2 linked regions of the Kluyveromyces lactis genome follow. The protein of the gene in region 1 interacts with the protein of each later gene in a biochemical or structural test. Links are inferred from orthologs where the notes say so. Each region holds a gene or a part of one and is shown on either strand. Other genes may lie near its edges.

Evidence for each region.
Region 2: the proteins of CLP1 (region 1) and PTA1 form a complex in vitro, tested with the Saccharomyces cerevisiae proteins (2 studies listed by BioGRID). The link is inferred for Kluyveromyces lactis from reciprocal best matches to the Saccharomyces cerevisiae genes CLP1 and PTA1.

Annotation. Positions count from the first base shown.
Region 1 is NC_006039.1:860,204-863,724, reverse strand, and holds CLP1 (cleavage polyadenylation factor subunit CLP1), read right to left. Parts: upstream 2,101-3,521; coding exon 787-2,100; downstream 1-786. Other genes in the region: APC5 (anaphase promoting complex subunit 5), read right to left, coding at 1-624; TUM1 (thiosulfate sulfurtransferase), read right to left, coding at 2,413-3,312. UniProt on the Saccharomyces cerevisiae protein: Component of the cleavage factor IA (CF IA) complex, which is involved in the endonucleolytic cleavage during polyadenylation-dependent pre-mRNA 3'-end formation. Associates with HRB1/CF IB to form the cleavage factor I (CF I) complex.
Region 2 is NC_006037.1:330,565-334,976, forward strand, and holds PTA1 (RNA-processing protein PTA1), read right to left. Parts: upstream 2,950-4,412; coding exon 475-2,949; downstream 1-474. Other genes in the region: HAP5 (Hap5p), read right to left, coding at 3,501-3,971; SNX3 (Snx3p), read left to right, coding at 4,264-4,412. UniProt on the Saccharomyces cerevisiae protein: Essential in pre-tRNA processing. Component of the cleavage and polyadenylation factor (CPF) complex, which plays a key role in polyadenylation-dependent pre-mRNA 3'-end formation and cooperates with cleavage factors including the CFIA complex and NAB4/CFIB.

The sequences.
Region 1 (3,521 bases):
GCCTATACCTTGATTGGTTATAAAAGGTGATTCTGGAAAACAATCATTCGTATGAGTATGTGAGAATATCCTGCTCGTCAAATTTGATGAATTGTTGATATCCTCTCTGTAAATGTTTGATATATCACAGGATAAAAACCTAGTTTTGAATGCCTGAAAAGATTCGACTATTTGATGAATATCTTCAACGAAGAATTCGCTGATATTGGAGTCTATTATAACACGCGGTAGAAGTTCGCAAATCACACTTGAACGACATAAAATTCTCCTGAATTTCGAAAGGACTCCTTGTTGATCTGGAGAAACTATTATTGCATCTCTTAAATGATGAATCAATTCTTGAATGTGGTTAAAACTGGAGATAGAAAATATGAGATTGATCAACTTAAAGGAAGCCTTAGTTTGACTATCCTCGTTCTTTCGGAGATATAAAACTAGATTCTCTAATGTTGGAAGCCCAACGCTATCCAGTTCATCATTTGGAACTATTTGTAATATTCGTGTGATGTTATGGAGGGACAAGTTTATTTCCCCTAGGCAATATAATACGAGTAACGCCACACAGCTGAGATCATACGGATCATAGCCAGTTACTACCCTAATTTTTTGGAATTCGACGGTCATAATGAACCTCAGCAGCAATCTTAATGCTTCTATATATTAGTTTCCTTTTCGGTGTATCTTATTCGCATTTGTGTATATCCTATCATTAAATAAAGTATCCGATTTTGTTGACATTTTTCATAAATATGTAAACAATGACTATGAAAGAATTATAAGTAAGAATCATTCCAAGTATCTGTACTCGGTGAGAATCATAGCTCTATCTGGTATTCTACTCGGTACTGGAAGTAATACCCTGAGTTTTTTCTTTGAATCATTCACTTCTGTGATCAAACCGTACCCGATTATCGATGCAGTGTTAAGTTTATCTTGGCTTTCTTTTCTAGATATATTAGTGATAGCGATAATAGCGTGCTGTAAGTTTGAGCTGTTGACTTCAATTTTGTCAAATACTGTTAGATCAACATCCTTTTTATCCTCTCCATATTCAGAGATATTTCTTGGCCTGAAAACTGTTAATTCTTCAAACCCAGCACCCATAGTGTATGGACTTAGGACTGTTTCTGTGGTACCATAAAAGTACTCTCTTATTTGAACCCTCTGTAAAGCTCTTCTCATGATATCATCAATTGCGATAATTGAACCTGGTGGCGGAATTCTTACAATTGATCCTATTTTAGTCCTGAATACTTCACTCAATTCGATAGCTAAGTCATCACTTTCTGCACATACCACTATTGCGTTAATATCGAATTGTTCTATCATGTGGCCAACTTCGGACCAATCTTCGGTGTCAAGATGTGAAAGTTTAGGGGTATCAATTATTACGCCAGACCTTCTTACTATTGGATCGTTCTTTAATCTCTGTTGCACGCCCGATGCTAGTTGTGTAATCGTCGATAAATATAGTGGTCTATTATCTCTGATATTTTCCAAGCCGTAATTTTTAACAAGAGGTTGCTTGTTATGGAGCTTGGTAGCACCTGTAGTAATACTCTGACCCCATATAGAACTTTCAACATCTAGCAACTCAGAAATGGGTGTCGCTGTAATTGAACCTGGCAAAGAAAAAACACCATCTTGTGGGTTCAAGTTCACTAACAACGGTTGATAATGTCTAATCTTCAACGCGTATGAGCATAGCATTTGAGCTAGCGATGATTTTCCAGTTGAGGCGTTACCTACTATTAGTACTCTAGGTCCATTGAAACTAGAGAGTCGTAATCTTTCTAATGCAAAATTTAGATTGTATATGTAGGCATGATATGACTTATTTTCCGAAACTTTTGGCTCAAGCTCTTCTAAACACTTCCATTCGATCATAGATCGTTCAATAGCATAGATGTTCACTATTACACCTTGGAATGTGTAGGGCACATCGTTGGCAAGCTCTGTTCCCAGTATCTCAGCGATCCCATACTTCACAATAACTGTTAGCTTTGATCCTGCTGGAACTTGAACGGTCCATTCATGGCCCTGCGGAAGAGACGATGTCTTAGTGGTCTCAGAAACCTCGCTGAATTCTACAAACTCCATTTCCTTTTTTCTAGCTTCTCCTGCGAGTGGTAATGGTCGGGCTATCAGCTCATCTACCTTTTGTTCTATGTTAATTAAACCTTTTCTAACACTTAAACACTTTAATTTTGATCAATATATCATTACAGATTTTTCCTAGCATACATACTGAAAATATAGTATAAACCAATTGTGGGCAATTATTGATTTGCGCAGGGTTCTTTTCAAGTGTCAGGGATGCAGAGCTACTGTTCTTTCAGGTAGTACTGCATGTTTCACATCTTCCCTACATTCAGTGTATGGGAAATCACTCATTCTATCGAAGTATTTCTCTTAACTTCCTTTAGCCACTTCTCCATCTTTCATCACCCATTCGGTCCAAGACCCGTCGTAGAGTCTGACATTCTTGACACCTGAAATCTCTAATGCAGTCTTGATTATGACACCTGTGACACCAGTACCACACATTGCAATGGTTGGTTTATCGGTTTCAAACTCATTGCCGGTTTGCGAGACGAAGTCTTGTATTTTCTTTAGCATTTCCTCACGATCTGAAGTAAAAGTTTTATCACTGTTCAAGACCTCTAGGAAGGGCAATGGCTGAACGCCAGGAATGTGACCAGAGCTGAGGCCCGGTCTAGGTTCTGGCGCCTCACCAGTAAATCTTTGAAGACTTCTAGCGTCCAAAACCTGGTAGTTCTTAATATCACCTGTCGACACCAATTTCTGCATATCTTCAAAGGAAACTGTTTCTTTCTCTGCCAAATCAACATCGGACACGTATTCACTCATTTCATATGGAGTAAAACTTGTCACTTTAGAAGTCTCAACGGGGTACCCAGACAGTTTCAGGGCAGGGAAATTGTTCAAGAGATATACGGGATCATGTCCCAAAACAGCTAATGTCCATGCACATCTAGGTGCGCTAAAGTTACCAATTCTATCATAAACCACTAAAATATCATCCTTCTTCAGTCCCAATTCACTCATGGATTTATTGAAAGTACTGAGATCTGGTAACATATGAGGATATTCAGATTTCATGTCTTTGACACCATCAATATCAAAATAAACAGCTCCTTTTAGACGTTCTTCATCTAAAAATTCTTGCTTCCCACTTCTGTTCAAGTTTGGTAAATACCAGGTGGAATCTACTGGGATAATACGGCGCTTAGTTTCCTTGGATAATAATTCTGCGAATGCTTTAGGTGTTAATAATTTGTAAAGTGTCATGATGTTTTAAAAACAATTCAATGATCTGGGAAACGCAATTGGGTAGAGCAATAACAATCAAATTTAGCAAGCCAAATAATGCGACTACAACGTGCAAAATTCTGATTTCCTTCTACGTCGTAACTGTGAGTTCCTTCCCCTTTCCTATCCTTACTTTTGCTGTGGTCAAAGATCTAATTTTGACACGATAGTGGAAAGACTACCACGCG
Region 2 (4,412 bases), on another chromosome or scaffold:
GTTTATCACTTTCACTTCCTCTGACTTAGTTAGATTCCTGAAAACATATTCAAGAAGAAGCGATGTTGAAATTATTTTTTTTTTCAAATTTCAGCGAGACGGCATTAGTTCATTTCTTTTTCTCAAAGAAGCTCTGTGTGTGTCCTTTGTTTCGAAGGGAAACGAGAACGAGATGAGATCGTGCTGTGCGTGCGTTAACTATATGTTTTAACGATAATGTGGCTAAAAGGTTATATTTTTGAAAACTTCAAATTTCTCATTAAGTGACTGATACATGGTGGAATTTCAGCCAAACCTATTGGGCATTAGCGAGCTATGATTCTCTTTTATTCGTTGACGGTTTGATAGGAAAGTAGTAAGTTTCTCCTTACATATTGCTTTTGGAACGCAACCAAATTGCAATATCTTCGACGGCTAGTATATAGATATATAAATTTAGAAATCAGGGTTTACATTGATTCAGAATAGCTTTACTCAGGAAAAATACTTGTTCAATAGTGAATCGCATTGTGGTTTGATACTTTCGTCTACTTCAGCCATAGATTCGAGGGCAACTTTGATGAACGGTTTCACTGGAGGTCTGAACATCAACATGAATTTCAAAGACTGGAACCCCAATACCGATCTAGTAGGATCTAAACATAGTGATTTCATCTTTTCGATGTGTTCTTGAGTAAGTAACGGCATTTCACTGACCATTCGAATAAACAATCTTCTGTGGGAGTCATCAAGTTTGGGGATCATGAAATCTAGCACCTTTACTGACCATTCATTATATATGGTATGATCTTTACCATCGGAAATCAATTCCTCATGGTACCACTCTTCACTTAGCCATTCAAGTACAAGCGTGATTCTGTTCTGGAAATCCTCACAGAAGTAGTCAAAAATTGCGTTGGTGACAATATCTCTCACATCTTGATTCGATGACACTCCTCTAGAGCAGAGTCTAGATAATAAGAATACCCAGGAGGTCTTATTGTCCCAATTCATTAGTAGAACTTTGTCCAATGGATTTGTACTTTGTAATTGTGTCATTGGAGTGCTCACATCAGTTTTAGTTGGTATCAGTAATATATTCTGCACAATTCTTTGCAAGTGAGTCAACTTCTCATCATAAGTTAAAGTTGGAACACCCAAGGATACTGTATGACTGCTTGATGGTTCTGCATCTTCCACTCTTTCGATCTTTGCCCTTTTGCTTTCTGGTGGCTGTATAGGAGCTGAATCATCAATTACGTACCTATCGTCCGCAGGCTGCTGTAAAGGTTCTTCGTTTTTCATTGCAACTTCTTGCTTTATTGGCAAAGCTGCAGAATTCTCTTCTCTGGGACGTTTACTAGCTTGACTTTGGCTACTGTTGTTGAATGGGACTGGACTACTATCGTTGGAGATAGTTGCGCTCTGTTGTTGAGCATTGTTTTGTAACCACTTGTTTATCAAATCGGTGTACCTGGACGCAACTATGGATAGTCCATTAATGGCAGTACCTGTGTTTGTGTTACTTAAAGCCTCAGTACATATTTTAACCATGGTATCTTGAGACAACTTCGAGACATCGAATCCGGAGGTGACGGGGTTCATTAAGGCAAAAACGGCAGAATATGAGTTATCGACAGAGGTATGAGCAGGATTCAAAAAATGTGGATGCTTTGTCGTGGATTTAGTGAAAGCATAACTCTGAAGGGATTGCAATACAGAAAGATCAGGCGGTGGGGGTGGAGGAGCAGGTATGTTCTTTACGGGGGCATGTATCTGAGGTTGAAAATTATTCAGTAACGGTGGAGTAGATGCCGTATTCATCATTGTATTTCCTATCATTGGCGAAACAATCGGTGGCATTTGAATAGGAGACGGAGATTTCGTTGTCGCTGAAAATGTTCCTGATGAAGAATCTGAAGAAGAGTCGTTAACTTCCTTCACTCTAGTGTATTTTTTTTTATCAGCTGGAGTCATTTTATGTTCAATCGCAGCCGGATCATAATTTAGAATACCTTTAGCTTTGGTCTCTTCGCCAATAACGAATAGAGTCTGTGAAATTTTAGCTAGTTTGTTTCTATACTGTGTCATGGATCCACTGTTTTTGAGTAGTTGACTTTTAATTCCGAACTGAACTAAATTTCTGTAACAACGTTCCACAAATCGCTTTGCAAGTCTGTATTGTAAAGTGGGTTCATCATCTCTTTGGAATTTCATGTCAATGTTGAATTTCAGTAAAGCGGATGCGATTCGAATTGTGGCCAATGGTCTCTGCTTCATAATAAAAGAAAGACTATGAAGAGCACCTGTGAACCATGGTGCACACATCATTGGTTCCTCAATTAAAAAAGTTAACAATTTATCTAACAAATATTTGGCTTCAGCCTCCAACGCTTGCTTATTAGATATCACAGGATGATTTTCTGGTATACTTCCCACGCTAATTCCGGGTCCTGAGGTGTGCACAATAATGATTTTCGAAATGAGCTTCACACTTGCTAATTTTACCCCCGTTCCTCTTGAATGGTTATTTAGATCATTGTCAGACAAATCCAAAGGATAGCAGGTCTTCCAGTTGGCAATGATAAGTTCTTTAAACTTTAACATTACCGACCAAAGTTTATCATCAGAAGTCTTTGCTACTAAATCAAATAATCGGTCATAAATATTACCAAGACATAGTATACAGTTTTTGTAAGTGACATAATCTCTTGTTTCAGCCATTTCCCAAAGCGCAGTGATGTTTTGACATACAATGAATGGTTTTTCACTTGATGGAATCTTATCATGAACCAATATATCCAATAATAACTGGGTAGAAAATCTCGAGAACCCTAAATTCCGCTTATCATTTAAAAACAATGTGATACCGGTCTCCAAAACCTTAGGAAGCATTTGTTCCGGCATATGCTGCATTGCCATCGCAGCTGCCTGTTGCAACTGGACTAAAGGGTCTACAGAAGTTGACATAGTTTTCTATACTCAGCAAACAGATGATTGAAAACTCACTGGAACAAAACAAAAAAGTACTGACTGTTGAGGTGCTTTGTTTAAAGTTTAACACACGGTTTATAGTATCAACCACGCTTGATGCTATGTCTGACTTGCTCTTGCTGTTTCTGCGCTCTTCAGTCACTTGTGGTTTCTTATAGTCAAAACGAAATCTGAACTTAGTGTTTAATTTTTTTTTCAATTTCATGTTCGTGCTTATAGAGAAGAGAGACTGTGAAAGAGAAAAAGCTACAGATGGTACAAACCTGCCCGAGAATATTTATGGATTTCAGACAGTAATTGACATGACATTTGTAACATTTACTTCGATTGAACTGTATATTACTGATCATGAAATTCACAATTTGTGAGTTAATAATGCTATATTGCTAGAAACAACTAAATAATGTCATAGCTCACCGATGTCGCATTTTTCAGAGGTCAACTGCCTAATCGGTTGAAATATGTAAGTGGGGCATTGTGTTGATTTCTCTCATTTCACTTTATACGCTAATGATTTGGCGGTTTGATCATTGAACGTTTCTGGGTACTATGTCAATCAGGAAATCGAACATATCGGACTTTTGTAATGCATCCGCAATGTCTTGCTTCTGCAACGTACGTCGCTTATTTTCCTCTGCAACACACCATGCTCTCATTGTGAGTTCTGTGATGAAGATTTCGCAGGCTTTTGCAAATAGAATTGGAGCCTCTCCACTAATCATTCTAACTTCTTCGTCAGTTTTCATCACTTTCTTAATCCTTGCTAGTGGTAACGAATGCGATTTGAAGTCGTCTTGGAATTGTGAACCTGGCTCATTCGTGGATTCTATCTCATTAATAAGTTCCTGCCAATACTGTATCATAATTTCTCTGTATCTGCCAGCAAGTCCCTGGCCGACATTATGGAATACGTCGATCTCTTCATCTTCTTCGAGATCCATGAGAGGTCCTTGTTCGTTTGTTACGTTCTCTTGATTATTAGCTGCCGGTTGATCCATGGTTTCGAGGTAAGTGTCATCGACAATATCAGTTAGATTTCATGTGGATCTGTGCTGCTAAGAACAGGGTACGATTTCAATACAGATCCACTCTTAGCATATTATGCGGTTTCCTGAAATCGTTTTAAGGATATGATTGTGAAAATAATATCTATGGCTTTTCATTATAAAAAAGACCATTTATGAAGGGTACCTCAACCAATTCCTGCAAAGTAACGAAGGTGGGTAAAGAGTGAATAATACCTTGAAAAACCTAATCGGGCAAGGTCCACGATTATATGGATTCGGTAATATGTGCCCCCAAAGACAGTTCCAATCATTTACTACAACTGCAGAGTCTACACTTTCACATACAACTCACAAGCAATTATCCGGTGCAACAATTTATGATGAGCCAGAAAACTTTCTAGAGATAGAGGTTTGCAACCCAAAGACTCATTT